Alligator mississippiensis: one gene and its partners. The protein of the gene in region 2 interacts with the protein of the main gene of each other region in a pairwise test. Links are inferred from orthologs where the notes say so. Each region holds a gene or a part of one and is shown on either strand. Other genes may lie near its edges. The genes, in order: MRPL15, CCNDBP1, NANOS2 and AMPD2.

What was found.
Region 1: the proteins of CCNDBP1 (region 2) and MRPL15 interact in binary tests that used the Homo sapiens proteins (3 or more experiments, as listed by UniProt). The two-hybrid records come from large-scale screens. The link is inferred for Alligator mississippiensis from reciprocal best matches to the Homo sapiens genes CCNDBP1 and MRPL15.
Region 3: the proteins of CCNDBP1 (region 2) and NANOS2 interact in binary tests that used the Homo sapiens proteins (3 or more experiments, as listed by UniProt). The two-hybrid records come from large-scale screens. The link is inferred for Alligator mississippiensis from reciprocal best matches to the Homo sapiens genes CCNDBP1 and NANOS2.
Region 4: the proteins of CCNDBP1 (region 2) and AMPD2 interact in binary tests that used the Homo sapiens proteins (3 or more experiments, as listed by UniProt). The two-hybrid records come from large-scale screens. The link is inferred for Alligator mississippiensis from reciprocal best matches to the Homo sapiens genes CCNDBP1 and AMPD2.

The regions. Positions count from the first base shown.
Region 1 is NC_081826.1:73,127,094-73,134,733, forward strand, and holds the start of MRPL15 (large ribosomal subunit protein uL15m), read right to left. Parts: upstream 3,013-7,640; 5' UTR 2,977-3,012; coding exon 2,860-2,976; intron 1-2,859.
Region 2 is NC_081832.1:303,252-310,395, forward strand, and holds the start of CCNDBP1 (cyclin-D1-binding protein 1), read right to left. Parts: upstream 3,007-7,144; 5' UTR 2,862-3,006; coding exon 2,792-2,861; intron 2,697-2,791; coding exon 2,631-2,696; intron 2,528-2,630; coding exon 2,448-2,527; intron 2,342-2,447; coding exon 2,260-2,341; intron 2,134-2,259; coding exon 2,037-2,133; intron 1,774-2,036; coding exon 1,700-1,773; intron 1,452-1,699; coding exon 1,375-1,451; intron 769-1,374; coding exon 515-768; intron 140-514; coding exon 79-139; intron 1-78. Other genes in the region: ZNFX1 (NFX1-type zinc finger-containing protein 1), read right to left, coding at 3,203-5,635, 6,996-7,091. UniProt on the Homo sapiens protein: May negatively regulate cell cycle progression. May act at least in part via inhibition of the cyclin-D1/CDK4 complex, thereby preventing phosphorylation of RB1 and blocking E2F-dependent transcription.
Region 3 is NC_081838.1:484,424-492,435, reverse strand, and holds the start of NANOS2 (nanos homolog 2), read right to left. Parts: upstream 2,944-8,012; intron 2,903-2,943; exon of another isoform or gene 2,604-2,902; coding exon of another isoform or gene 2,573-2,603; 5' UTR 2,495-2,572; coding exon of another isoform or gene 2,437-2,494; intron 2,211-2,436; coding exon of another isoform or gene 2,177-2,210; intron 1,970-2,176; coding exon of another isoform or gene 1,621-1,969; 5' UTR 658-1,620; coding exon 124-657; 3' UTR 1-123. UniProt on the Homo sapiens protein: Plays a key role in the sexual differentiation of germ cells by promoting the male fate but suppressing the female fate. Represses the female fate pathways by suppressing meiosis, which in turn results in the promotion of the male fate.
Region 4 is NC_081837.1:34,357,185-34,364,772, forward strand, and holds the start of AMPD2 (AMP deaminase 2), read left to right. Parts: upstream 1-4,580; 5' UTR 4,581-4,694; coding exon 4,695-4,773; intron 4,774-5,168; exon of another isoform or gene 5,169-5,351; intron 5,352-7,440; exon of another isoform or gene 7,441-7,530; intron 7,531-7,588. UniProt on the Homo sapiens protein: AMP deaminase plays a critical role in energy metabolism. Catalyzes the deamination of AMP to IMP and plays an important role in the purine nucleotide cycle.

The DNA of each region.
Region 1 (7,640 bases), on a different chromosome or scaffold from region 2:
TGGGGAGACCAATAAATGTAATACACTGCTACTTTAGCAAGGCTTTTGATACCATTTCCCACAGCATTCTTACAAGCAAACTGAGGAAATATGGGTTGCACAAATGGACTGTATTGGGGCTAGAAAGCTGGCTGGATTGTCAGGCTATCATCAATGGCTCAATGTCTAGCTCACAGCTGGTATCAAGTGGAGTGCCCCAGGGGTTGGTCCTGGGGATGGTTTGGGTTTTGTTCAGTATCTTCATTAATGATCTGGAAGGTAGGATGAATTGCAGCCTCAGCAAGTTTGAAGGTGACACCAAGCTGGGGGGGTGTATTAGATAAGCTGGAGGGTAGGGCTAGGATTCAAAGAGTGACCTAGACAAATTGGAGGATTGGGCCAAAAGAAAATCTCATGAGGTTCAACAAGGACAAATGCAAAATCCTGCACTTCGGGCAGAAAAATCCCATGCACCGCTACACCCTGGGGACTAACTGGCTAAGCAGCAGCTTTGCTGAAAAGGACCTGGGGGTTAGATTAGACAATAATACAGGTCAGCAATGTACACTGGTTACCAAGAAGGCTAACAGCATACTGGGCTGCATTAGTAGCAGAGTTGCCAGCAGATCAAGGGAAGTGCTTATTCCCCTCTATTCAGCACTGGTGAAGCCACATCTGGAGTACTATGTTCAGTTTTGGGCCCCCCACTACAGAAAGGATGTGGACAACTTGGAGACAGCCCAGCAAAGGGCAATGAAAATGATTTGGGGGCTGGAGTGCATGACTTCTGAGAAGAGGCTGAGAGAACTAGGTTTATTTATTTTGAAGGGAAGACTAAGAAGGGATCTGATAGCAGCCTTTAACTACCTGGAGGGTGGTTCCAAAGAGGATGGAGCTAGACTATTCTCAGCAGTGACAGATGACAGAACAAGGAGCAATGGTCTCAAGCTGCAACAAGGGAGGTTTAGGTTGGATATTAGGACAAACTCTCTCACTAGAAGGGTGGTGAATACTGGAACAAGTTACCCAGGGAGGATGGGAACTCTCCATCTTTGGAGGTTTTCAAGACCCTGTTAGACAAAGCTTTGACTGGGATGATCTAGTTTGGGGGGGCGGAGGGGGGCGCGGGCTCCTGTTCCGAGCAGGGGGTTGGACTAGATGACCTCCTGAGATACCTCCCAACCCTAATTTTCTGTTTCCCCCCCACCCCACAACTTTACAAGGATTCTATTTGAAGCTGAGTGGGAAAAGATCTCATCCTATTTCACTATCAAATAAGAGGCGAGAAGTTCTAAAATCTTGGTTCTCAGCCTTACTCCTAACAACATAATGGAACTATCTGACTAACTTTATTGAAGCAGGACATTTTTTCTTAAGTTACATACATGCTGTCTGAATTAAAGTCCTGGTAACAATATATGCAATCATGGATCACTAATAAAATGAATGTTCGTGCTTCCTCCTTTTTAAAACTACTGTTTACAAGGACTAGTCTCCCATACACTCCAAATACAGCCTCTGCTTATCAAAACACTGCCGAAAGGCTTGACAATACTAGTGGAGAACAGCTAATTCAGCAGCGATAGTGAGCTGAGCTGTAAGGTGCATAAGAGCCCAGCTCCTGGCAAAGCAGGGAAGGCTAAGGCAGCAGCAGGTGGCTTGAAAATGAACCCCCTTAAACAGGTGGGCCCATATGTCACAGCATGTTGCTGATCCAAGCTCTTTGAGGGCTGTACAACCCTGGTGTAGCATATGGTAGCTTGGTAGTCAGTAAAGCTGATTAATCAAGTCTCCTCCTGTTCTAATTAAAAACAGCCTAGTGTCACCTCATCATCACATCAAATGAGGTTTAACTCAAGCATCCCACGGCCATTTTTAGATCCACAGAGGTTTAACAGATGTGATCATGTGGTGTTTTAATTAGAGCAGCTTTCTGGGAACTGCTCTAATTAAACACCTGTCCCCCCACTCCTGAGCACAGCATAGGCAGGCTGCAAGTCCCTCATGTGAGTAAGTGTACTGGAACAGAGTCTGCATCAAAAGGTTGCTGATACAGATACAAGGTTTTTCACAAGTTAGACACCCTCAATACATACTGATATGGCAACAACCACATGTCACAAACTACAATTTATTCAATGTTACAGAATAAAACATTGCAGACATAAGCAAGAGCATGCATTATTCCTACACCTTAAAAGGATAAATGTAAAGGTCCCAAGCTACCATCCTTGCAACATCTGCCTGTAAGGATTTGAGCATGAGATCAAGATTAACCTCGCCGTTACAGAGGAACAACTACAGTGCATATATCACAGGTAAGAGCATGTCTACAGTGGACTGGCACAATCCTAGAAACCTGGGGTTAGATGGGACCTCAGGAAGTTACCTAGTTCAAAGCAAGACTTCCATAAGAATCCACAGTGCTAAAAGCTTGCCAACCTGTTGTAGTCTGTCAGCGCTCAGGCCGCTTTCTCTCTGTCTCAATATAGGTGCAACCAGTCTTGAAGACTGAGAATGGAAACTGCATTTGTCTTGAGGATGGGGGAGCTCCTTGCCCCAGAATCCTACAGACTGACAAGGCCGCCGTCCCCACCTCAAGGCCCCCTGCAGCACAAGGCACAGAGCGAGCTAAGGCCCGTTCCCGGCCCTGTACAGGGTCCTCTCTGGGGAGGGGCAGACAGCAGCTCGCCGGGGCGCACCGTGCACACGACCTGCTTCGATGGGGATCAAATGCTGGTCGGTTTGAGCTGGCCCCATCCACGGGGCCGCCAGGGGCAGTGACACCCCGCGGGCCCGGCTGTAGCAGGGCCTCCGGCTCCGGGAGCCCCACCACCCGCCGGCCATGCGCCAGGCGGGCAGCGCCGCCGCGGCACCCACCTTGCGCTTATTTTCTGGGTTGGGTTGCAGGTTGCCCAGGTTGACCCGGGGCAGCGTCCGCAGCAACTCCAATGCCTTGGCAGGGCCGCCCGGACCGCCCCGCGACGCGGCCGCCATTACTCCTTCGCCAAGGGTAAGCGCGCGCTTTACGGCAGGAGCCCCTCCCCCCGCTGTCGTGATTGTGCCGCGAGGGGCGGGGCCAGCAGCACCGCACTCTGGCGCATGCCCAACCGGGGTGTTGCTGAGGGAGCAGCAGGGCGTAATCACAGAGATGGCTGTAGAGAAAGCGTGGGAGGAGCTCGGTGCGGCTCTGCTCAGCTGCCCAGCGGCTGTGGTCTTCCTCAGACGGGCTGCTGAGTTTTTGGATTTTTGTGGGTGGGAACGAATTTCAGCTAAAATGGCCAGAGGATGGATGGATACATGCATGCATATGCGTGGGTGTATATAGTCTCTGAAAATCTCTGGCGCTCCCAGGCTTTGGAGAGCCTTGGGAGTGGGCAGGGCAGGGCAGTGGCAGCCCAGGAACCAGCTGGCTGCTCTGCTGGCTGCTCCAGTACCTGCCAGCTCCAGCAGACCTGGGGACCTCCACACGTGCATGGCAGGAGGCGCAATTGTAGGATCAGGGGTCAGGTTCCAATTGTGCCCTATTTTCAGCATAGGTGGATCTAGGATTTTGAAAAGGGGGGTGCAGCTGGTGTGATGCCTCATCACACAAAAAAATAACACACATCTCTCCCCTTAAAAATAACCTAGAATGTTTGCTAATACGCTAAAAGGCTAGGGCTGTATTATTCTGTTTAAGATTGAAGCAAAAACAAATATAACTTCATTGGAATTAGTTAAAAACAATCTTCAGGGCTGCAAAATAGCTTCATTACCAGTAGCAGCTAACAGACAGCAGAACTGTTAGTGCAACATCAAGATTTACAGTAAATAGACGGCGGTAAACACCTGTGAAATTAAGAGTTTAGAAGGGATGGAGTAGATTACAATTAGCCATGAAGTCAATTGACTCCGGCATCGCTGCCAATTAGCAACGCTGCTGCCAGTGCCAGGCAATTGTTTTTAAACTTTGGGTGGAGCAGGAATCAGTGGGGTGTAAGTGCACCTCCCTCCCCCTTGGTTGCCAGTGTAGCTAGGTGCCCAGTATTCATAAGGCTGGGAGCACCAGTCAGCTGAGTGACACTCCCAGCCATGGGAGTGCACCAGAGCAAAGGGCTCCAACAGGCACCTAAGGCTGGGAGCACCAATCAGCTGATCACCATGTTCAATTTAAGGTGCAGTGGGAACCAGCCACATTTATTACAGGTAGTTTGTGTAATAACTTTGTGGCTTAGTCCCTATTTTATGGTGTGGTTAACTGCTTGAAGGTGTGGCTAGATTACTATTTAAGATGTGACTAACTGGTTAATCATGTTTTAAGTGTAAGGTCTGCCAGGTACCTTAATGACTTAATTGGTCCAGGTCCAAAAGAAGGAAGTTGCCTAAGAACAGGCCCTGCTGAAGAGGGTAGAGGTGGTAGACTAAGGCAAGAAATCTGGCAGGAAAGATGGTAAATGTGGGAGAAGATGGAAACTAAAACTGGGAGTTGGGTTGGGAGGAGGCCATGGCTGTTTGAGTAGGCAAATTGTGATTGAACATGAAGGAAAGGGAGTGGAGGACTGGGCATAGCTATGTTGAGACAGAGTGAAGAATCACTGGGGGAGACTATCCATCAGGGCAAGGAAAGCAGGATTAACAGGTAGTCAAAAGGAGATCAGTTGGCAGGAAAGACAGGCCTAATGTGCAGAAAGGAAGAGGGAAGTGAGATTAGATGAGGACAGAAGCAGGGGAAGGCAGCGGTAGTGGACACAGAGAATATAGGTAGAAGATGGCTAAAAAACAAAATGGGGGGGCCGAGTGAGACAAATTGGATGAGAAATTGGAGGTAAATTAGGAATAACTGGGCAAGGTTACCATGAATGGAGGAGGAGACTAGGACTTGAAGGGCAAAGTGACTGCAGCTGGGATGATAAGCGTGTGGAAAGGATTTGGGGATTTGGATGACAAATTGGGAATAGGGAAGAGTAATGATCTTGACAAGGAAAAGTTAGAAAAAACAGGGTAAAAGGAGTCAAATCTAGGAAGAATGAACCTGAATGAAATATTTATGGCTACTAGAGTACATGAGTCCTAGAGGCCAGAATGGATCCCAAGATCTAGACCAGAGGTTCCCAAACTTTTTCATATTGCATACCACTTCTAGATTTACCAGCTGCCTGCAGATCACTACCAGTTCATGTTTTATATTTTAACCCTTTAAACGCCAATTATTGTAACACAAATTAAATTAGTCATTACACAATTTCTCCTGTGTACCCCCCAGAGATGTTGCATTGTGTACCCCCAACAGTATGTGTACGACAGTTTGGGAACCCTTGCTTTAGACTTGCCATTCTTCTACTGTCAGCAGATATTTCTGAATCCCACTGGCAGTGTTCTAACCCAGTCCATATGGTCCTACTACTTGTATCAGTTACTTGCTAGATCAAGTAGCAGAAGCCTGCACGGTAGATTTAAACTTTAAAGGGCCTTTCTAGTTGATGACTGGCGTGGGAAATTAGTATGATGCCAGAATTAAACTACCATTTTTCTCATTTTTTTTTGTTGAAACCCAGGAAATCACATGAACAAAAGCTACATAAAAAGAGCATTATTAAAGTTGCAAGTTCTAGCACTCCAAAGCTTGCAAATGGCAGAATTAGTATTGCTTGTGCACCCTTACTTGTCCTCCCTTGTACCTATGTATCACAATGCAGTCCTTAATTGTATTATCATGTTATTTTTTTTTCATGTTCCAGTCCCATTAAGTGTATAGTTGACACCTCTGCAGATGAATCAGGGTTGTATAGTGAAGAAACTACTTTGTATGTTGCAGAAGTTTGAAGGTGAGAATGAAGCATGGATACAAGTAGAAAAATGGTGCTGTCATGTTTAACACAGTTCCTATGTGAAGATAGTCAAGTTGCTTAAGGCAAACTTTTCAGTTAACTAGAGACCTTGTGGTTTAATTTGCTGAGTGTTCTCCCCTGCAACTGAAGTGAATAGGAGATGGGAACATTTTAACATTTCTTACATTTGAACTTTGAACATTTTAAATGCTACATCCTGTTTGGTTTTCTGAAAGGAAAAAAAAGACAAAATCAAAAACGGGTCTTAAGCATCTAAAAATGTAATACCCAAAATTAGTAGATACCTTTGTTCTGCAATTTCCCATCTGTAAAATGGGGATAATAATGCCCTTTAATCTTACAGGCTTGTTATGAAAATAATTAAGACTTTGTTACAGGGAATGCACCTTGAATGCCTTTATGCTCCACGAGAGAAATACAAAACTCTAAAACTCTTGGTTCAGATGTGATACCTTTTTATCAAGCCAACTAAAAATAGCAAAAAATATTCTTTCTTTCCAAGCTTTGTAGCACTTGCACCCTTCTTCAGGCTGAGGAAAAATCAAAGATTGTAAAAGTCCTTTTAGGTAGAAAATAAACTTCATTTTGAGCAGGGGCAGTTGAGGCTGGATGTATATTCCTCTGTCAGAGTCCTTTTGTGTGAGTTGCTTTTTGATATGCAAATAAGGCTGTCCTCTTCCTTGGAGGTGCTAGATGTCAGAAGCAGGCAGGGAGGCAGAGAAATCTTTCTTTGTTATTTAGCCATAAAGTTAATTTTTCCAAAAATGGCTAAATACAGTATATGCTTCACTGACATTCAGAATTATGCTAGTTTTAACTCCTAGTTGAGCTACCAGAGGCAGACAGCTCAAAGGGTAGGGATCATAGGAAAAGCAGTCTGTTTGAAATCATAAAAAAGCAGGCCTATTTAACCCCAGAAAACATGCCAACAATCTCTCCTCATAACAAAGTTAATTTATAGAAATGTAACAAGGTAGCCATTCTGGGCAAATCCTTGTTCATATCCTAAGCAACATCTACCAAGTGTAGGATACAGAGATTCAGGATATGCTTTAGTGTCCAGTACAAGAAAGTGCACAACAGGAAATGCATGATTCTGTTCTCAGAGCCTGGTGTAAAGAGTGCCCAGTAAATAATGCCAGAGGCCACTGTCTCTAGTGGGTTATGGAATAGAGAAAATCCCACACAATTTACTGATTCATTTTGATGCACTGGCTGGGGGAGTAGTTAGCTGATTGCACGATTTCACAATGATTACACACTTAATTTATACAACACAATTTTATTTTAAAATTCTTTGGTATGTATATAACACTGCTTAGCTTTAAGAAACACCACAAACATTAAGAACACAATAATTACATATATCAGAAACAATGCTCTGAATGCACTTCCTTCCCAAACAATGCTATAAGAATTAGTATTACAAAAACAACTACAATTACAACTAAAAGTTAGATTTGAATCAATACTGTTATTTTCATAATATACTTACAATCCTAGAATTCCGAGAAGCCAAATACCAAAATATGGTTTCATTCCTCAGTAGTACAATTTAATGGGTTGGCCTCAGTAGTACGGTTCAATGGGCTCGCCTCAGCAATACAATTCAATAGGCTGGCCTCAATACTGATAGGACTAAGTCCCCTTCTTTCAGTCCCTTTCGGGCGCTCTGCAGCTTCAGCGTGAACTAAGAGATTTGTGTTCACGGAGAGGGTGGTTCAGGTGATCAATCTGATCCGGCCTACACTTGCGATTCTTCCTTCATTGTTCTACAAGTATAGTCACCTCCAAATTGGGACAGTAAGTTACAGTTTTTATTGAGTGAGC
Region 2 (7,144 bases):
CCCGTGGACACGCTCTGCTCTCCACGGGAGCCAGGCCAGGGCCTCTATACAGGAAGGCTGAAGAACAGCAGGACTTACATTGAGGCGCACAGCCAGCTGGTTCATGGGTGGATACATGCTCAGTGCCAGCTCGTCCACACTACGGCAGAACAGAAAGAGCAGTCACTACAGGAGGGGGACCCCCTGGCAGTGCCAGCAAGCACACAGCCCAAGGTGACACCAGCCACCTACTGAATCGCCTCTGAGAGCAAACTGGTGCTGCCAGGTTCAGCATGGGTTCTGCCTGAACACACTCTCCCTTGCCTTGCAGCCAGGGCATCACTCCTGTTCCCCAGGCTACTTCCTTGGAGCTCTCTCCTGCCCAGCTAGGATGACACCTGTAGCCCATCTCAGAGGTCCAGGGTCAAATGCCCCTACTCCCACCACCAGCTCAGAAGGCAATGCAACCCTTGCGAAGATGCTGCTTCTAGCACAGCACCCAGCAAGCCACAATGAAAGGGAAGGGAGGATTCACCAGGGGCTGATCTCGTTGGCAATGTCTGCAAGGTCATCCAGCTGCGCGACATGTTCCGGTGTGTCTGCTTTGCCGTGAGCCTTCACTGCACCCAAGACCTTCTTCAGGCAGGCTTTGGAGGCCTTCATCAGCCCCATGCAGGGGCTGAGCAGCTTCCGGTCTGCCTCGGACCAGTAGGTATCCCGATTGCCTCGAGAACCCAGCTCCTCATCCTCCATGATGTCCCCGTAGGGGTCACCTCCTTCAACCTGAGCCTGAGGACACAAGCACGTCGGGATTCTGGAACCCACCATCTGCCCCAGGCATGACGAGCAATCCCCAGCACACCCAAGCTTCCCTCAGGATCCCCCAGCTCCCAGGTGTCCAAGGCCATTGCTGAGAAGGCTTCTCTGTAGGAGACTGATATAGAAGTTAGACCCTCCCCTCAAGGCTACCGAATGCCAAGAGCTTGCTGGGAAATCTGATGTCTTTTATTAGGCCAACTATTTAATTACTTAATTTAATAAAACATATTGCATTCACCCAAAGAACCATGTCCAGCTATGTCCTTAAACCATCAGGGCTACAGCCAACACGCCTAAAACAAGAGCCTGCCGGAACACCCCTCTCCCCACCAGCAAACAGCCCCTCAGGGAGAAGCCAGGGACGCGAGTTGCAGCAGCCCCATATCGAGCTAGAAACTGAACACTTCACAGGCGCCCCCGCCGTGTGGGGCTGAACATCTCGGTCTGAGTCGAAACCAAAACACAGAAACCAACTGGACCGCTGTCCGGGGCAAACTCATTGCCTGCTGTCACAGCAGCACTACTGCAAAGCCCAGAGCTGACAGCTGTCTGTAGAGGGAAGTAAGGGCCTCTTACCTGCTCCATCTCCTTCAGGGCATCCTTGACCACTTCCAGATACGTGGCCACAACTGACAGGACGGCTGCCTGGTTATCTGCACGCAGAGGCCAGAGGGAGGTGAGTGGGCCGGGGGCTGTGCAGACCCCGCCGCCTCCCCGGCTCGCACCACGCTCCCCCGCCTCCCTGCAGTCGCTCAGAGCTGCGGCGTCCCCGCATCAGGCGACTCGGCTCGTGCGGCAGGGGCTGGCCTCCGAGGAGCCACCGGCTCCGCTCCGTCTCAGGGCTACCAGGGCCAGTGCTGCTGCGAGCAGAGCTCTCGCTACCTGCAGCGACGCCACCTACCTCGCGGCAGGCTGGACACCTGCTCGCACGCCTCCCACACGCCGCCAGTCGATACGAGCTGCTCCCGAGACAAACTGAAGCGGAGAAAGAAAATCCCTCGAGGCCCTGGGCCCATCGCCGCTGAGAGGACTGAGCAGCACCCGGCAGCCGCCTCAAGCTGCGAGCCTGACCAAGCCACGCAGACCCCCGCCCCCGCCCCACGACGCCCAGCCCCAGGCTCCCAGCCGGCCCTGGGGGCGCCCGGACCGCACGCATGCACGCACGAAGCCGCTGCTCTCCCGTGGCCGCGACCCGCCGCGAGGCCGGTCGAGCTGGGGCGGGGCAGGGCCAGCGTTACCTCTGCAGAGCGCTGCTCAGGATCACGTCTGTGAGCTGGATCGTGCCCTCCACCACCTCGGCGGTGGCGTCGCGCACCATCTTCCGGAGCGTGGTCCCTGGGAGAGGTTTAGAAGGAAGAGGCTGATGGCCGGGACGCGGGGGCCGCTCTGCACGGCCCCTTCTGCCCCCGCCAGCACCCTCCCTCCCGGCTCCTCCTGGGGGCAGGGGTGCGGCCGCCTCACCTCGGTCCTTGGGCAGCCCGTGGTAGGCCGCGGCGGCCGCCAGCACGGCATCCCGCACACCGTCGCACAGCTTCTCGCGGTCCTGCGGGGGGGCGAGGCGAGGCGAGGCGAGGGTGAAGGGGGCGCGGGGTGGCGGGGAGCCTAGGGTTGGGGCGGGGCGGGGCGGGGGGCGGCCGCGGAGCACCCACCTGGGCGCGCGGCGGCAGCGGCCCCGAGAAGGCCAGGCTCAGCTTCGTGGCCTCCCGCGACGTCGCCTGGAAGCTCCGGGCTGCGCAGCCCCCCGGCCGGGAGACGCGCGGTCACACACCGCCCCGCCCCCGCCCCACCCCCCCCCCCCGCGCTGCCCGCCCCCGCCCGCACCCTCCCGGTACCGAGCGCGGCCCAGAAGCGCGGCGGCTGGAAGGCGGGGCAGGCGCGGCGGGCGGGCGGCTCCCCCTCTGCAACGACACGGGCGGCAGCGGCTCAGCGCGGGACCGGGACCGGGACCGGGACCCCCGGCCGAGACCCCGCCCCGCCCCGCCCCGCCGCTCACCGCGGACACGCGCCAGCACCGCGCGCAGGGCCCCGCCGAGGCGCTGCAGCGGCTCCAGCTCCGGCTCCATCGAGCGCTGTCCCCCTAGTGCGCACACGCACTCCCCGCCGCCGCGCACGCGCAGACAGCGCTGAAGCCGCTGCCCTGACTGGCCCCACTGCCCGAACCTGGGGGAGGGCCCGGCAGCCGGGCGGAAGACGCCGCGTAGGGGCTGCTTCCGCCCTGCCCCGCGCCCACTTCCGGCGCTGCTCGGGTGATGGCAGGACCCCCGCCCCCCCGGGGCGGAGCAGGCACCTTGAGTGACTGGATAAAATTTATTGCGGTGAAAACGCGGACAGCGCGGGCGGGGCGGGGCGGGGCGGGGGCGGGGCGGTAAAGTGCGGCGGGCCGTGGCGCGGGCGCGGGCGCGGCCTAGAGCAGGCGGCCGAGCTCCTCGAAGTTGAGCAGGTTGTTGGCCGTGTCGGACCAGGCGGCGTGCGCGGCGCCGTCCATCTCGGGCGCCAGGCGGTTGGAGTCGTCCAGCGCGTGGTTGTGGCCGCCGATGACGGCCTGGCACTCGGGGCAGACGCCCTGCTCCATGGCCCCGCCGCACTCCCCGATCACGTACACGTGCCCGTTCCTGCACTTGAACCAGTGGCCGCGCGGGCAGCCGATGGCGCTGACGATCTGCACCCGCTCCTCCTCCGAGATGCCCAGCCCCGACGTGGGCAGCGCGGCCTTCAGCTCCTCCATCTTCACCCGCACCGCCGCCTCGTCCTCCGCCGTGAACCTCCCGGTGCGCTGCAGCAGCGTGCGCAGGGCGGCGACGTCCTGGGCCAGCGCGGCGCTGAGCCGCGTGCCGGCGGCGCTGCAGCGGGTCAGGAGGTTGGCCAGGTACGTCACCCGCTGCATCTCGCTCTGCAGGTCCGACAGCTCCTGGCTGCTGAAGCTGAGCCGCTGCTTGCTGAGCCACTCCTGCACCTCCGCCAGCCGCTTCCTCAGCACCTCCCGCTCGCTCGGGTCCAGCTTGCTCAGGGACCCGGTCAGGTCCGCCACGCGCTCGTAGAAGTTGATCAGGTTCTCCAGGAGCCCGACGCTCTTCGTGGAGAGGTTGGGCTGCTTCAGCCTGTCCTCCAGCCGGTCGTACTTGGTAGGCAGCACCCTCCGCAGAACGGCCTTCCCTTCCAGCGTGGCCTGCAGCCTGTGCCTGCTCGTTTCAATTTCACGCGCTGGGCCTTGGATTTTCTCCTTCACCTTCTCGATCTCCTCCAGCCGCTTTTTCACAATGGTGCCGTATCTCAAGTTCTTTCTAATTGGCGTCTGGCAGATGGGACACACCTTCAGCTTGACGGCACTTTCGTCTTCGTCCATGTAATAGTCGAGACCTTGGGACTCAAAGATGTGGCCGCAGTCTTCCAGCTGCACAAAGCAGGCTTCCGGATCCTCCTCAAAGCCAAAAAATATCTGAGTGACTTCATCGTGGTCACACACAAGGCACTTTTTGGGGCAGGGTTCCCCGCACAGCCCGATGCAGGGATGACCACAGCGCAGCTTCTTACTGCACCGTACATCACAGCGGGGCCTGTTGCATGGCTCTGAGCAAAGCTGCGTGCACTGGTAGTGCTGGCACCGCCACTCGCATGGCTCCATGCATGGGATACACATCTCCCCACATTTCTTTTTACACTGACTGTGGACGCAGTGGTTCTGACATGCTTGCTGGCAGGGAGGGCACTCCCCAGTGCAAGGTTGCTGACACTTGTGGGAGCAAACGAGGAAGCGCTTGCAGGGGTTCTTGCACTGCTCGTGAAATCGCCCTTCATAGCAGGTGTTGCAGGAGCCCGGGCAGACATGGCCACAGTCCAGCGTGGTCACACATTTCGTTTTACACTTCACAGGCATCCCATTTTCCATCTCTTCCGTGATCCAGCATTTCACCTGCTGGTCGTGGCCACATTTTAATGTGACCATCACCAGCTCAGGACACTGCGCAGTGCATTCCTGCCCACAGAGCTTGTTACATTTGTGCCCACATGTCAGATACTTCTGACAAGGCTCTTGACAAGAAAACTCACTTGCAGGGGTGGAGCAAGGAACCATCTGTGGGTGGCCGCATTTGGGGATAGTTTTCGGCACTTTCACCATGCATTCTTCACAGGGTTCAGAGCACAAATGGGGGCAACGGTGCCCATCTTTGCAGAGCACCTTCTGGCAGGGCTTCAGACACTGAAACTCCTTGTGCTGGATGTCATAGGGGTGACATGCCCGAGTGCAGACGTGTCCGCAACTCAGCCTGAACTCACAGGGGCGGCTGCAACCCCCTTCTGGAACTTGGCAGAAGTCTGCTGCTTTGGACACCAGGGTCCGAGTGTCAGGGTGGTTCTGGCAGCACAGTATCAGCGAGCGGCCGATCCGACCTTTCTCTCGGAGAGTGTGAATGATCTTGCTCCAGAGGGGGACCTTGCCGAGCATCCCCATGTTCCCAATGCAGTACAGCCCTTTCTTGGCTCTGGATAATGCCACGCAGATCCGGTTGGAAATCTGCAGGAATCCAGCTCTCTCTTCCCTGTTACTTCGCACAAGTGAAAGCAAGATAATGTCGTTCTCCTCACCCTGGTACTTATCCACCACGTGAACTTTCACACCTGCAAAGGTTTTGGCAGGCATGAGCCTGCGCAAACAGAAAAGCTGCCCAGTGTAGGTGGTGAGGATGGTGATCTGAGAGGGCAGGTAGTCCTGGCACAGGAAGTACTTGCATAGCTCCACCACGAATTTGGCCTCGTGTGGGTTCTGATGGCTTTTCCCTTCCTGGATTTCCTCTTCAGGGAAGTCATGCTCCACAAAGAAGAGGTTAGATGCAACCCCCTGAAATGAAAAGAGAGGGAAAGGTCACCAGAGAAAAGAAGAGTTCCTTCCAACATGGCAACCTTCCCTTTTGCATCTGTGGTTTCCTCCCTAAGACTTCAGGCATAGTTTACAGACACCGGGGCGGGGGGGAGGGTGTTGGGTGGTGCAGTGCGGCAGAGCATCACACACCTAAGGCAAAGCCTCTGTCAGACATTTTCACAACATAACTAGCAAGAAAGAAAGACTTTCAGGTTGCAAGCCATGCCTCAGAGTCCTGATAGGACAGCACTGACAACTCAGAAATGCTGCACTATTTGGAAGACCCAAGTTCTCTCATCACCTGCAATATTCTTCACATTATCTAGAAGGGATGGGTGCTGGTGGGTGTTTGCAAGCAGATGTTCCATACACTAAAGACAAGTTTTCCTTTGAGGGCAGGGGAATGGGTGGATGGACAGGCTTTATCACTTACAGATACACCCAGCAGCTTGGGTGGAATGCACACGTGCACTTTCCAGTGACGTGTCTGTGTGGTACTTGCAGTCCACATAAGTCTCATCTCAGGGTCTGTGGCACTTTGGTTCTGAAATCCAAATAAGCTCATTCATTTAGAGGTGCGTTCCTCCTCCTTTCGCCCAACTTTAGGGCCTGAGTATTTAAGGTCTTGTATTTTGTCTGAAGGAGGAAGGGATATCTGGCAGCCCTTTGCTTTTGTGCCAGCATAACTAGTTTGATGGAAAAGGGCAATACAGTGGATGCACTGGCTCATACTTTGGGCTGCACTTGTGGCATGCTTGTCACAAAGGTTGGCCACTACTGGCCTTCCCACACTGTTCCTTACCACTTTGTTCCACTGTTAGTCATCCTCACTGCTAAAAATATCTGGTCTAATTTAAAATTTGCCTCAGTTCAGCATTGACCTGTTGGTTCTCGTTTGTTTCTGCTACATTAAGGAATCCATGAGTGCCGGTATGTTCACCTCATGAAGTAAATACATAACAATCGAGTTGCTGATCTGTTTTCCAATAAGAAGATTAAGGTCCTAGGGTGCCTCGTTCTAGCAGTGTTTTTCGAGCCTCCAATCATCTATGCATCATTCTGCATCTTTCAGGTCTTTGTCATCTTTCTTAGAAGGTTGCCGTAAGAACTGGATGCAGCACCATAGTCTGTCTTGTTGCTGCCACATACAGTTGTCTCTTATAGCACCTAATTCCCAAGTCAGCTGTCATATTTTTTAAAACAGATGAATTTAATGAGTGAGGCTGAGGCACTTCAGTATAACCCCAAAAAGCAACCAGGTATGATGGAGCTAAACAGAGGGTTCCAGTTACCAGTAAAAGGTTTGAGACACACTGGTTAGCACCAGCTGTGAATGTACCTTGATGTTCTCATAGGTGAGGACCGAGGGGTGGTTCTCCAGCTCCTGGTATATGTGAGGAGTAAGGAGCTGGGCAATCTCAGGGCGCATGCGGTGCTGAAATACAAAGTTGTCAGGTCAGCACTGCCGGAGGAGCACAGCCAACTTCT
Region 3 (8,012 bases), on a different chromosome or scaffold from region 2:
ACGGCTGCACCCCCGCCCCGTGCGGGGGGGGCTCCGGGCACGGACGTGTCCGGCGGCCGGGCGGGCCCAGGCACTCACGGGCTGCGGCGCGGCGCGGCTCCGGGGGGGTCCGGCGGGGGCCGGTCAGCGGTGGACGTGGTGCCCGGCGGCGTTGCGCCCGCCCTTGCGGTAGACGGAGCGCTGGCGGGGGCCGGCGGGGCAGTAGCGCAGCGTGTGCGCGTGGTCGGCCGTGGCGCCGCAGAGCGGGCACGTGTAGCGGCGCAGGATGGGGCAGGCCACGGCGCCGCCGGGCGTGCGCAGCGCGTGCGACATGTACACGTGCTGCGACTCCCCGTTGTTCTTGCAGAAGCTGCACATCACCTCGGGCGCCGACACGGCCGCGGGGGTCTCGCCGCCCGGCGCGCGGGGGGCCTCCGGGGCCTGCGCCAGCGCCTGCACCACCTGCGCCAGGCCCAGGTAGTCGCGCCACATGTCGAAGGCTGGGGCCAGATCCGGAGTGGAGCAGGACATGGTGCATTTCTGTCCCGGGGACCCCGGGGCGGGGGGTTTAAAGCCCCCCAGGGCAGAGGTGGAGTCTGTGTTTAAAGGGCCAGTGCAGGGCAGGGAGCAGGGGGCTGCCCCCCCACTGTGCCCACCCTCCCCCCGCAGGAAAGCCATGGGGTGGATCTAGCTCCAGGGTTTGGGGGGGGGCAGGAAGCCCCTGTGGATGCCCCCAGCTCTGGGGTAATGGGGGGGGGGGAGGAGGAGGGGCACCGGGCAGTGTCACCCTCCATCTTCAAAGGCTGGGGGTGAAAATGAGCAGAGACCCCCCCCACCAGGACCCCCTTGCTCACTCATGGGACTCCCACTGAAACCCCCACTAGGACCCCTACTAAGACCTCCTTGCACACTCATGGGAGCACCATGGAGATCCCTACTGAGACCTCCCACTGGGACCCCCACAGAGACTCCCTTGCACACTCACAGGACTCCCACTGGGACCCCTCTTGCACCCACGAGGCCATCCTTGTGTCCCCAGGGGTGTTTATGCCCCCAGGGCCCCCCCAACATGGGCGAAGCGGACAAGACGAGCAGGGGGTGCAGGGAGTGGGGGAGCCCCTTGACCCCCCCCCCACAAGGTTTGGGGCAACAAGGGGCCAGACGCCACGGGAGATGGCAACGAGATGGCAACTGTATCCAGCCCCAGCCCCGAGCTGGGGGGACTGGCTCCAGCTTTGCAGGGCCCCGAGACCTGGGGGCTGCGGGGGGGGGGTATCAAGGAGAAGCCAGTTTGGGTTCCCCCTGCCCTGACGGGAATCCCCCCCATCCTGGGTCACCCCAGGGGGATCGGACTGGGCCAGAGACCCCGATGGGGGGGGCGGGGGGGCTGCTGCCAATCATCGCCCACCTCTGGGGCTCTGTCTGGCCGGCAAGTGAAGACTTAAAGCCCCCCCCCATGAAAGGAGGCTGCAGACAGAGGCAGGGGGGCTCGGAGTCAGGCTGGATCCAGACGCCCTGTCTGGGCAGGGGGAGGTCATGGGGGCCTGAAGGAGAGCCCCCCCACCCCGCCCCGCCCCGCCCCTCTCTGTAGCAACAGGAGGGGCCCTGATCCTGCCCCCCCACAGGGAGGAGAAGCCAGGTTCAGGCCCACTCCAGGAGCCGGGGTGGGGCCACAGCCCTGCCAGCCCCGCCCCCTGCAGCTTTGATTGATGGGGGGCAGAGCAGACCCCACAGGGGGTTTATTTGGGGGGTGGGGGAGCTACCCCCCCAGCTCCGCTCATGCCCCCGATGGCTCCGAACTCCCCTCCCTGCGGAGAGAAAAGGGGGGCCTGAGGGGGGCAGGAAGATGCCCCCCCCAGTGCCAGCCCCGCCTGGGCAGGAGGCTGCCGGGGAGATGCCCCTGGATGGTTTGGGGGACCCAGTTGGGGCGGCTTTTGATGGGGGGGCAAGGAGACATCCAACCTGGGCCCTTCGTGGCAGCTGCAGGCGCCTGGAAGGGGGCACAGAGGTAGGGGGGTTACCTCAGCCCCCCCCAGGAGGCACGGGGGGTTACCCCAGGCCAAGCCCCCAGCTGGGGCACGGGGCTTTACCCCCCACCTCCAGCTTCCTGCCCTTCCGCAAGTCGGGGGGGGGCTGGCATCCCAACTGCCCCCTCCCCCCACATCAGAGGCCCGATCCGGCCCCGGCTGCTACTCACACAGCTGTTCCTCCAGCACGTACAGGTCATCTTGCTGCGGGGGGGGGCAGAGAGCAAGGTCAGGGGTCAGGCCCCCCCCCCCCCGGCTAAGGCTAAGTGCTTGGGGTGAGGGGGCTGCTTTTGCCCCTCACAAATTGGGGCAGCTGGGGTGGATTTAAAGGGGCCGGGGTACAAAGTGCCCCTGCTCCTTCAGCTTTTGGGGGGCACTCAGCACTGGCCAGGATCAGGCCCGGGGGGGGGTAGGGGGGCCGGGCTCTCACCAGCGTCTCCTGCAGCTCCCGCAGCTCCTGGACCTCGAGCTTCATCCGCTGGTTGTCCCTGGATCGGGGTCAAGGTCGGCCTCAACCCCGGCACCCAACACGCCCTGCCCCGCTCTACCCACTAGGCCCCGCGTACCGGAGCAGGACGTCCTCCGTTGACCTGAAGACTGAGTGGGAGAGACGCCCGTTATGGGGCCGGTGCCCCCCAGAGCCAGCTGGGCCTTGGGGTCACCCCTCCCGTGCCCTGCCCCAACCCCAGGGGAAGGCTGCAGGGAGGGGGCGGCATCACAAGTGGGCTCCAACCCACGGGAAGGGAGGTCACGGGCAGCTCGGACCCCAGCAGGAAGTTGCCTCGCAAGGGGCCCAAGCCCACGGGAAGTGAGATCACAAGTGGTCTGGAGCCAATAGGAAGTGGGGGTCCCTGAGGGGCGGGGGTGACCTGGACAGGGCAGGGGGCAATTAGGGGATGACACCCCCAGGGGTCTGTGGGGGGTCTGCCCCCCTCACCTTGGTTCTCCTCCTTCAGCCGGGCGTTCTGCAGGCAGACGGGGGTCAGGGGGGGTGGGGGGGCTGCCCCCCACGTGCCCCCCATGGAGCCACTCACCATGCGCTGCAGGTTGGCATTGGCAGCTCGGAGGGACGTGACCTTCTCCATCTTGGGGGGGGGGGAGCAGACTGAGTGGGGGGGGTGGCAGGAACCCCCCCTCCCCGCCCCCCCCGGGCTGCTACCATCTCAAGGGGAAACTGAGGCACAGGGAATGTCAGGGCAGGCATCTGGGCTCCCAGCCCCCCCTGCTCTAACCACGGGACCCCGCTGCCCTCCCTGAGCTGGGACCGGACTCCCGGGTTTTCCCTAAACGGCGCCCCCCCCCGCCCCAGCTGGGAATGGACCCAGCGTCTGGGCTTCTCGGGTCCTTCCCCCCCCCCCGGTTCCCCGAAGGGGCTTGTGCGAAGCCTCATTGGCCCCCAGCAGGGTGCTTGGAGCCCACAGGCCATGGGGGTCCCAGTGAGTGCTGGGTGGGTGCTGGGGGGTCCTCTGGAGGGTGGGCTTCAGGGGATGCCCCCAAATCCCATGAGGCCTTGGTGATGGCGGGAGGCCCCATGGTGTGTGGCGGGGCAGTCCAGGGGTGGAAGGAGGCTTGTGGCGGCCAGTTGATGCGGGGGGGGGGGGGGGGGGGGTTGCCCCAGGCCCCTCGGCGGGGGAGGGGGCACTCACCAGTGCCTGGTTTCGCCGCTCCAGAGAGAGGAGGCGCCCCCTGCAGTCTGCCATGCCCGGGCACTGCGGGGGGGGGGGGGGTAAGCCAGGCCCACACCCCCACCCAGGGGGCCTACAGCATCTTTCATTTTGCCCCTGTTGCACTGCAGGCTCGGGCCCCACCCGGCTTCCCAAGCTAAGCAGGGTCAGCCTGGTTCACCACATGGATGGGGAGACCTCTCCATGTCAGAGGAGTCTGCCCTTGATGAGTGAAAGGAGTTTGGGGGATCTTTTTGTTCCCCCGCATGGGGAGGATCAGAGGGGTGTCACCCGCAGAGCCACCCTGCCCTGGGGTGCCTGCCTTGCTTTTCTGCCCCCAGCCTTACCTGCTCCCAGGCCTCTGCCTCCTGGCTTGGCCCAGTGGCCTCTCTGCCCCTGCCCCCTCCTTGTGCTGTCATCTGTGATGTCATAGAGCCCACCAGCATTCCAGGCCAGCTGCGAGGGGGGGGGCTGATGACCTGGGGGGGTCCCTGGGTGATGCGGGGGAGGGGGGGGCAGGTATGCAGCCCTTGCTGCATGAGGCTGACCTTTGACCCCCGACATGTGAGCACCCCTTAGAACTCCTGGTCTGGAAAGGGGGTCAGGGGGTCTGGCTTGGGGGGGCAGCCATCTTCCTGGGGTTACCACAGCAACACAGCAGCCTGTGGTTGCCATGGGGATATGTGGGGCAGGGGGTCACCCTATTCTGCCCCAGGGCCTGTAAAGGGGGGCGGGAGCTGGTCCCTGCCCCCACGCCCCAGTCTGGAGTTGCCCCACAGAGACCCCAGGGGCCCAATCCCTGGTCACATGACAGCCCCCCCAGCAGCAGGGAGGGGGCCGCGGGGCCTGGCGGGCGGGGATGGGCACAGACAGTGGATGGCGCGATGGAGACGATGGGGGCTCGGGCAGGAGCATGAGGATGAGCGATGGGGTGAGCAGAGGAGCCCCCCGTGGGGGCCAGCTGAGCCCCCCCCGACCAGGGCAGAGCTGGGGCGTTCCCCCCCAATAACCAGGGCATCCAGGCTCCCCGCCCCTGCTCTCACCCCCAGACCCTGCTCCCCTCCTGGCTCCGGGGACAAGACCCTGGCGTCCGGGCTCCCCAGCCCCAGCCCCGGGCAGAGACCCCGGCGTCCGGGCTCGCCCCCAACACTCGCCCCGCGCCCCTGCCCCCACGTCCCGTCTCCTGCCGGGGAGCCCAGGCGTCCAGGCTCACGCCCTTCCCTGCTCTACACCCCGCCCCCCCAGCTCTACCCACTGCGCTGCGCTGCGCTGCGCTGCACTCCCGTCTGGAGCTGGGCCCCCTCCTCCTGCTGGCCCTGGCCCCCATCTCCCTGGCCCTGCTCTGCCCAGGGGGCGTGGGGCGGGGGGGGGGGCCGGGCCCGTTAGTCCTCGATGGGTTACAGGAGCTGTGAAATGGGCAGAAAGAACGACAGAGGCGGCGGATGGGAGCGCACATTTATCAGGACAGCGAGGGGTTAAATCGTTAGCACCCGCGCCCACAACACGAGTCACCACGACGCACACGCGGGCCCCACCCCGGGGGGGCGGGGGGCAGGGGGTGGGGGGCATTTGGAGGGGGACCCGCAGCCTGGCGGGGAGACAGGACCCAGGCGTCCGGACTCCGGCCTCCACCGCCTCAGACCAGCCCCTGCCCCCCGCCCCCCCACCCCCCACCCTGGGGGTAGAGCCCAGGCGTCCTGGCCCCCCCCAGAACCAACCCCCTGGTAGGGGGGTCCATACAGGGCGCGGGGGGGCGATGGAGGATGGAGGGGGGGACATGTCCCACGACAGCGATGGACACGGCGGCACTGGGATGGAGGTGGGGGGTTCCAGCGCTATATACAGGCGGCTGCTGGTGCGCCACGTACGGGTGGCTGCCGGGGTATGTACAGGGGCGCAGGCTGCGGGGGCAGATGCGAGCTAGGGCAACCCCCCCCACCCGACGCCCGGGTCCCCTCCTGGCTTGTCACCCCCCCTCCCCCGCATGCTGGCTACACTGGGGGGCAGAGGAGGGGACCCCCCTGCTCCTCCAGCCCAAGGGAGTGGGGCGCCGGCTGCCCAGGGCCTCAGCCCCTTCGGCTGCACTGAGAGTTACGATTTTTACTATTTTCATTAGTTTTTCCCTTAAAAGCTGCTACGGGGGGGGGGGACGGGGGGGGGGACAAGCAGAGCCCGGGCGGAGCCGCCTCGGCCTCTTTTTATGTCTTTTTTTTTTTTTTGCTTTTTTTTGTGGCCTTTTTCAGCTTTTTTTGCCCCAGTTTTTCTCTTTTCGTCTCTAAATCCTCTAAAAACCCCCGAGTCTCCCCCCACCCCCACCCCTGCCCCCACCTTTTTTTTTTTTCTTTTTTGAAAGGTTTTTTAATTCTTATCAGTGTTTAACGACCCCGACCCCGACCCGCGCGGGAGTAGCTGCCCGGTCTCTAGAAACAGGAATTTGGCACTTCCAGAAAGAAAAGAACAACGAAAACCGTCTGGTCTCAGGCCATGGACGCGCCCGGCCCAGGGGATTGAGGCGCCAGGCGGCTCCTCACCCCACGTCTGCCCCCACGAGCGCTGCCAGTCAGGTAAACTGAGGCAGGGCCCCTCCCCCCCTGGCCTCCAGCCCTGGGGAGTAACAGCCTCGTGCCCCAGCTCCCAGCAGGCCTTGCCCGCGGCCCGGGCACGTGACATTTACGGCGCCCTCCGGCCCGAGCACCCGGCGTGGCCTGTCCACAGGGGTCACACGTCGCACTTAGTGCGTGGCCCTGGGCGGGGGGTGCAGGGCGAGTCCGGCGGGGTTAGGGGCGGGCACTGGAGCATTATGGGACACTGGGGGTCACGGGGTGGCACACCGAGCGGTGCTGGGGCAGTGGGGGCAGGTCACGGGGTGCTCGGGGCGGTTGCTAGGATACCGGGGGCTTGGTGGAGTATTCTGGGCTGTTGCCGGCGTGTCAGTATCGCGGGCAGTTACTGGAGTACTGTGGGCCGTGGATAGAGTATTATGGGCTGTTACCAAGGTATTATGGGATGTTATTAGAACAGCCTGGGCTGGTGGTGGAGTATTATGGGCTGGTGCCGGAGCCCCCCGGGAGCTGCCCGGCCCCTCCTGACTTTATGGCAAAAAGACTCAGACAAAGATTTTGGCACGACCCCCCCCCAGCCCGGCCCAACCCCCCCCCCGACTGATATGCAGGCCCCGGCGGGGGCTTGGTCCCCCACCCCTGCCCCCCGCTCGCGTCAGTGCAAGATGCGGGGCTATTGCTTCCCGACAGCAGTCAAAGAGATTCACATTGTTCGGTTCCCCCCACCCCCCCATTAAAACCTCCCCCCATTAATGAACGGAAAGTGATTGATCTCGGCCCCTAACGAGGACACCCCCCCCCACTCTGTCTGACCCCAGCTGGGGGGAGGGGCAAATGCCCCTGCTTGGTGCTCGGGGTGGGGGGGTAAAATATTGCACAGATCCACAGCTCACCACGGGGGGAGCACGGTGTCCGGGGGGCTATGGGGTAAGTGCCCTCGTGGGTGGGGGTAAGGGGGTAAGTGCTGATGCTATGGGTGGGGGGGGTTGGGTGGCGAGAAGGGGGTCCCATGATGGGGGAAGGGGTCAGAGGTCAGGGGGCGGAGCGACAGTAGGACCAAGAGACCCTCTAGTGGCCGGAGTTTCCCTGCCCCGCCGGGGGTCCCTCTGACTGGGGTGGGGAGGGCTGTAAACAAGGAGGGGGCTCCCCCCCACTGATATGTGGGGTTCGATCCCCCTGCTGCTCTCAATGTTGGAGAGGGGCTCTGGCCCCCCCAGGAGGGGGGTTAACCCCGCTCCAGAGGGCGGAGGAGGGGCTGGGTGGTCACCGTGGTGAGCGAATGGGGACATAACACTGGTGGGGCAGGTGGGGGCTGGCACCCCCTCCCCCCCCGGGCACCAGGCAGCACCTACGTGCCCCCCCCGGGAGATCGACTGCGGCATCGTGAGGACCCACACCCGGGTGAGACCCTCACCACCTGCCGCAGAACGTAGCCCATGACCTCACAGGAAGCAACCTATGACCACATAGTAAGTAAGTAGCTCACCACATCAAAGGAAGTAGCCTATGACCTCATAGTAAGTAACCTACAACCTCATAGGAAGTAGCCAATGACCTCATAGGAAGTAGCCTATATCAAAGGAAGTAACTTCCTGCCTCACAGGAAGTAGCCCACAACCTCACAAGAAGTGCCTACAATTTAGCAGGAGGTAGCCTATGACCTCATAGGAAGCAGCCTACAACATCACAGGAAGTAACCAATGGCCACCCTGGAAGTTGCCTAGAATGTCACAGGAAGTCACCTCCAAGGTCACCAGGCCTCTCCTGTGACCTCACAGCAA
Region 4 (7,588 bases), on a different chromosome or scaffold from region 2:
TCTGGTTCCTGAGCCGCACTGCGGACAGCTTGGTGGTGAATGTGTGGTAGCCTCCTCACACACCTGTGCCTTTTTCACAGGTCCTCAAGAGAAAGTGCCTCCTCCCTCCAAAGCTGCAGCCCCATCTGGTATAGCAGATCTCTTCCAAACTTTGCCATTTGCAACATCTGAGGAAGTGGGCTGTGGCCTACGAAAGCTCATGCCTCTCTGAATGAGTTAGTCTATAAGGTGCCACCCTGCCAGGCCTCCTCCTGAGCTTCAGACTAACACAGAGAACTACTTCTCTATGGGGACTGGGCATGCTCTAAGGATTACAGTTAGGATGCGCAGGGGCTGGTTCTGAACTGGATGAATGAAGCCTGGGATGAGTCCCAGAGATGCCTTTGACAAAGGTGGGCTCGGGTTTAGGGTTAGGTGCGGTGTCATGGGCTGGCAGTTGGACTGTGGACTTCTCCTAACTTGTCTTTGTGGAGGTCTGCCTGGGGAAGTGGTTGTACATCTAGTGATGGACACGTAGATCCTGCCTGGGAAGAGAGTCATTAACTCCTCTTTCCCCTTGGCCCAGTAGCTGGAGACCAGATTTACTTCCACATCAAGGAACCCCTTGACCTCTACCCACCATTCCCGACCTGCAAAGCCACCAGTGTCCGAGCCCCTGCCCACGGAGGGGCAGAATGCATAGCCCATGATTTGACGTGTGACTGCCAGCCTCCTCTGAAACAGCAGGGTTCCTGCCTCTCAATCAGGACAACATCCGACCGACCGTGACCTTCCCCTCCATGAGGGAGGGGGCATGGAGCAGCATTCTCCTCCTCCTCCCTACCCGGAGATCTGTTCCCAACTGGAGATCCTAACACCCTGCCTCTTTCTGATGTGAGTGCCATGTGCACGCAGGCCAGAGCCAGTAGCTGCACACGGTTTTGTTATAGCCCCAGGATAGTACAGGCACCCCCCAAAAACTGTCTTTAATATACCTTTCCCTTGGGGCTCCCCTTGAGGTGCTCTGGTGCATGTTAAGAAGGAGCTCCAGGCTGAGTGGGCATGGAATTTCCTGTGCTCAGAGGCTTTCTAAAAATATGCCCTTCTTTAGCCCTGGATTAGGGTGACTTTGCAGAGCAATCACTGGGAAAGAGTCCTAATCCTTGCACTGAAATCTACCCTGGCATTGCAGGCCCTTTGCCTCTCTTGGGCACATCATGAAGCCACAGTTAAGTACCAGAGGGACAGGAGACAGGTGGAGGGAGCTGAGTGGGACGTGTTTGGAGGTGGAATGACCAGGAGGGGCTGTGGCAGGAAGGGAGAGAAAGGAGGAGCTGCTGGGGAGGACGAACATCTCCAGGGATGGAATATCTCTGTGGGATGTGGATGCCCTGTGCGGACGCCAGTTGTAATCCAGCCTGGGGCAGTTGTGACTGCAAGGCATTCACTCCGATGATGGATGTCATTTCTCAGTGGGCAAGAGTCTGCCTCATCATAGCAGCCGCTGCCACCAGTGCTCCCTGCTGGCAGTCAGAGCCAGGCCTCAAGCTGTATGCCCCATCCTGCTAGTGAGCATCCCTGCTGAAAGGGGCCAGCATTTGTACAGACCATGCAGCCCCGTGTTGTCATTCAGGCCCTTTTCCCAGAATGAGGGGTCATAAAAGCTGTACTTCAGTGAGATATTTCCTATCCCTGTTACAAAACCCTGAGAAGGGAGGCTGGATGGGCCAAGTGGGGACTGAGAAGCATGAAAGATATATGGGTGTGAGGACAGAAGGGGTTGGGAGTGGACATGGAGGCACCAAGTGAGAGCATGGGACATGGGCAACAGCCATGATGCATCTTCTTCTGATTCTTCATGGGTGCATGTAGCTTGAGTTACTCAGCTCCAGGCTGGAGCTCAGCTCTTGAACAAGACCCGTTACCCCTGTGGCAAGGTGAGCAAGCAGCAGGCTGCCTCTCAGTCCTCCGTGGAGAAGTGGGTGGCAGGTCCAAACAGAGCAACCATAGTAGATATCCTTGAGTGGGGTCTTTCAGTGTGGTGGGTGCTGTTTCTGGTGCAGGAGGCTGGTATTGTTCCTAGCTGCATGGGTGCAAAGCAGTTGCATGGGGTTTCCAGCAACAGAACTGAGATCAGGATCTGGCCCGTTTGCTGTGACACCTGAGACAGCTCTGATATGAGCTGTCATATGATTAAGAACTGCGCACCGAGCTGAAGCGTGTGTGGGGCAGGGGGAAGCCTGAATGACAACGCAGAGACCAGCGTGTACTGACACTGCCGGGTAAGACCCTTTCCCTTTTGCAAACAGCTCCCTCACTGTGGGCCTCTGCCTGGGGAGCTCTTTTTTCTGTCTCCATAACAGACTCTTGTTAATGCCCTACATTTTAATTGCCCTCAAACCTTTTCCAAGCACTGTCTCTCCCTCTTCTGGGTGCTGGGGACTGTTGTTTTACATTCAGTATTAGCGATCTTCATTCATATGCATTAACAAAGCAAATGCATTTTGTACAGCTTTTTCTTTGTTAATACATAGTAATGAAGATCGCTACTACTGCTTGCCCTCCTCTACTGCTTTCCAGGGGAGGGTTTCAGACATGGCAGTTAGTAGCTATTTACTAACTATACTAGTTAGTGGGTAGCTATTTACTAACTAGTAGCTATATGAAGAGCATCTGTATGAGTTCTAGGGACTCAGGCACCAGTGTTGGATTTGGTACAGCCAGCCTTAGCTAACTAGCTAGCCATTTTCATCCATGCAGCCACCTCTTAGGTGGTACATCTGCTGTTTAACAGTAACAGAATAACACTGCTCAGCTCTCTGGGAGGAGAAGAGGGGAAATCCTGTAGGCAAGTGAAAATATTTGTAGTGAAGGCCCTCACATCAGACTGAGATTCGGCCAGGTGGGCAGCGCTGGCTACAGGGGAAGAACAATTAGGACCTTGTTTCATGCCTGGGTATTCTGGCCCAGACGGGCTGATATTCTTAATGGGTCACAGATGGCTTTTCCATTTGTCACCTGTCATAAATGAAACATCTCCTGGGCTGGAGAATGCCTGTGGGTGGCAGTGGGCCAGGTTTTTGTTTTCAGCTGTGCTTGACTTGGGCAAGACAGTCCATTTTTCTGTGCCTCGGTTTATCCATCCTCAGTAAGGACTACTTATCCCTCATTGTTGCTGTGTGGCGAGCAGATGAAACGCGCTGTATACCTGCTTGATTTGTTGCTCACATAGTTTGGCAGGGTTCATCTTAAACGCAGCTGGAGTGGCAAAGGGGTTTAGGAGGGCCTTGCTCTGTTCTCAGCATTGCCGAGCCTGGGATCTCCACCCACCCTTAGCTTTGTGCAAGCCCTCGTTTAACAGGCCTGTTCCAGGAGGGAGAAGTCAGCCATCGCCACCTGAGTGCGTGTAAACAGCTCTTGAATGGTTAGTGCCATTGCTCACTCAGGACGGAGCCTCACCGGACCCCCATTTCCACTCCCGAATGAATTATGCTGCTCAAACCCCGTCATAAAGGGCCCAGCAGCAAGAAGCCTCCCAGCCTCCTCCTCCGTGGTGCTAGCGAATCACAGCGGCTTGTGCCGCGGGCCGCTCTGTGCTCCTTGAACCAGCACCCCGGCATCTCCCACGAACTCCTCCGTACATGGTGCTGCGATGCTGGGACCCGCGGCCAGGCTAGCAGCTGTCCTAGCCTTGGGACTGGCTTTGCTTGGAGACGCTGCCAGCCTGGACCAGCCATCGGGGGCTCCTGGAAGTTGTTTTCATGCCCCAGGCCAACGGGGCAGAGTTAAGGCGACTGCTTGGCCTAGTCAGGCAGAGCAGGCTCTTTGCATCTCCCCCGATCCTCTCCCTCTTCTCTGAGCTTCCTCACGGTTGTCGGCAATATCTGGAGTCCTCAAGCGTATTTTAATAACCCGCGCAGCGGTGGGACGCTGCCAGCGCCCTCGTCCCCTTGACACCCTAGTGTCCAACCCACGGTTTGGCGATGAACCAAGCGAAGGATGGAGGAGGCTGGCCCCAGGCTGGCAGGACCACGCAGGCCCACCCAGGAGGGGCAGCGCGCACCCCTCCCGTGCGCTCCCGCGGCCCCTGCCGGCCGCCCCCGGCCCTGCAGCCCCGGCGCGCGGGGGGCGGGAGGGAAGAGCGGCGCAGGCGGGAAGAGCCGGGCGCGGCACCGCCCCTCGGCTCCGGGTTCGAGCCCAGCCCGCGACAGCCCCGCGCCCCGACGGCCATGGCTGCAGGTAGGCAGCGCATCGCGTCCACACACACACCCCACCCACCCCCCCAACAACATGCCAGGGCTTCTTGCCCCCCTTGGCAGCCAGGGCGCTGGCCGGATCCGACAGGGGAAATAGCTGCGGTCGGCCGGGACGTGGCAGCCTAGTGGAAACGAGCCCGGGGTTTCTGGCCAGCCCTGCGGCTCCTGTGTGTGCGGGTCCCCCCAGCGGGGCCGGCTTGTCACCCGGGGATGCTCGGGGTTTGGGGGCGGTCGCCTAGGAAACACCCGGGGGGCAGCTCTGCGCCCCGCCGGCTGGGACTTTGGTCCAGCCCCGGGCTTCCTGCATCAATCATCGCCCAGGGGCGGGGCCCGGCCCGGCTATTGGACGAGCGCGGCCTGCCTCCCGCGTCCCCGCCGCAGTAAGAGTCCCCAGCCCGGCGCGCCCGCCGGCTCCGCAGCTCTGAGTCACAGCTCTCAGCCCGGGCAGACGGAAGCAAGATGTCATCCGCCGCCGGGGTTCCCCGAAACAAGTACCCCTTCAAGAAGAGGGCCAGCCTGCAGGCCCCCGCCATGGCAGGTGAGCGAGCGCAGGCCAGGCCCCCCGGCTCCTGCGTGCCCGCCTGCCGCTGGACGGCGGGGGGACATCACAGCCTTTGTTCCGTGCGAAGGGCCGGACCCCTCCATTGCCCATCCTCTGGGGACGGTAGTGGACTTATACGGCTCTAGTGGCATCCTGAGCATCATCCCCCTACGATATCTGCCCGCCTGGAGCGGGGTGGGATGCTGGTGGCCGCGGTGCGCCTCTTTCTAGGGGCGTGCTGAGCGGAGGGTAAGGAAGCAGCAGGCTGGGACTAGGTTTTTCTGTGGCACAGGCCGGGGTGGACTCGGGGAGGAAGGGGATTTGTGCCTCGCCTTTCTTGCAGAAGGACGTGGGTGTGAGGACTCCGGACAGGTGTGCAGCTGTGTGTGCGAGTGATACGCACGTGGCGTTTCGTGCAGGGTCAGGTAGCGATTGATTAGAGCAGGACCGCGGATGCTGGATAGCTGGATTCTCTGCCTGGCTCTGGGAAAGAGCGCGATTCAGTGGGGAGGACGGGGACCCGGGAGTCAGGATACCTGGGCTCTATTCCTGACTTTGCTGCCTATTTTCTTCAGGTGAGTTGCTTTGTTATTTGGTGCCTCAGTTTCCCCTTTTGTAAAGCAGAGAGGAATGTACTTACCTGCCTCTGTCACGTGTGTTGAGATTATTGCTGCACTTCTGTGACCATTGCTGGTTGGTGGTGGGCAGAGATGGATCTTGGAGTGTGTGAACTGCATCAAAATTTAGGGCTGTCCCCCTGGCCACCTCCTTTGAAAGTCGCCTGGCGTCCTCTCCCCACTGTACTGCAGACCCACAGCCTGTGTGCTGCAGAGGAGCTCAGCCAGGGGGATGCTAGCCTCAAATGCACTTCCCACACACATCCAAGAGACACCAAGGGACCTGAGCAACATCTTGTTGGTGACCCTAGGGTCCTATTCTCAGGCCATAGCATACCAGTGACATCCACTGGGCTGCCTGTATCTCATGGCAGGAGATGAAATATAAGGTATCAAAGCATGAGCCCTGGGGAAATGTAAGTGTCGAGGAGGGCCTGTGACCCTTCTGGAGATGCACTGCCTACATATCGGTGCATGTGGGTGCCTGGGTGGGTGTTTTTTTGCAAGCCTGTATCTCTGTGTGGGTGCTGTGTGTAAGAGAGCATGGGGAACTGCTGTTCTAGGTTTGACAGTATCCCACTGTGTAATGCATCAGACCAGCGCTCCAGTCCGCTGCCCTCTTTCAGCCTCGGTTCCTCCAGACCCATCGCTATGGTATCTGAGTGCCTCAGCAGCTGGTACCTGATGCTTCAGAGCCAGGCACAGGAGGAAGAAATTCCCACCATGCACTTGGCTAATTGACATGTGTGGGTGGTGGTGGAGGGGTGTGTTGTGCACTCTGGATGACGGTGTTCCAGACATATTGTTATTTTTGGAGTAACTCATTTATTACTATTCCCACTGGGCCCTGGGAGCCCCACTGGGGCTCATGTGTGAGTGTGTAGATGGGAGCTGTGCAAGGCAGATGCTAACAGAAGCGTGGTGTAGCGCGTGGGGATGCAGGATGAACACAGATGCTACTGTATGTACATGGTGGAGTTATGTGGCTACGCAGGATGGACACCTAGATGCTAACAAGTGTGTATCATGCTGTTGCGTGCGTGTCCAGCTGCTAATTCTTGGGTGCTGCATAGTCATGTGGGTGCTTTGCATGCCCCATCCCTATGTGGATAGGAGTGTGTGTAAGTCTGTACGTGGATCGATACCTGTCTTTTCTTGCCTGCCATTATAATTCCTGAAATACCTGGCAGCTTAACCCGCCCAGCCAGTCCCGGGTCTGTCAGGGCGCAGGTTATAGAATCCATGTGGCTGCATGTGACGGGGACATTTCCTCACCTAGTGGTGGAGCAGGTGAGGAGGAGGAAAGAGGAAGGGACAGACCAGATTCCAGTAGAGAAAGGTTTCCAGGATTGCCTGGGTGTGAGGGGAGGGGAGAGGAGATGAGGAAATCTTCCCATGTGGAATCTGGTTCAAGGATGTCATGGTCCAGTTGGCACGGCCTGTGAGGAAGCTCCTGCTGCCAGGGACACACTTGCCTCAAGGACTCCCGGGGCTGGGAACAGGCCTCCTGCAGGGAGAGAGCTGAGGGTTTTTGGGGTGATTGCACTATAGTGAAGAGGAGCCCCTTTGCCTTTGGGTGATCATCGACCAGGAACCATGAGGGTGGGAAGAAGCATACTTAAGTCTGGCCTGCAGGATCTTGGGGTGTGCACTTGAGATTCACCTGGGCACGTGCCTGCAGGGATGACTTGTGTGACTCATCCCCATGCACTCCAGCCTGATGCTGTCACCAGCCTTGGATGCGTGTCTTTCTCAGGCTGCTCTTCGGACACCCAGGTTTGTTGTTGCTAAGCTAAGCAGGTGACGTGGCCTAGAATCATATTTATGGTTTTTCTTAACTATGGGCGTCTCTGGGCCCTTTAGGACCTAGGAGCTGCCCACTTCTCCACCCTGCTCCTGGGGTCTTCTTCCAAGTTCCATTTCCTGCCCCTGCCTGCCTCGCAGCAACCGTTCATTGCCCCTTGGCCCAGCAGCCTGGGACTTTGATCAAGTCCCGGCCTTTCTGCTCAATCATCAACCAGGGGAGGGGCCCACCCAGATCCCCTACAAGCTGTTGGAAGAGCCTCTGAAATCTCTCCTGTCCCTCTCCTCCTACCACCTGCCTGCTGGTGCTTCCTGGTGGGTGGGTATGAGCCAGGTAAGGTACACACACCCAGGGGGACTTGGGACTTGTGCCATTGCCCACCAGTCAGAGA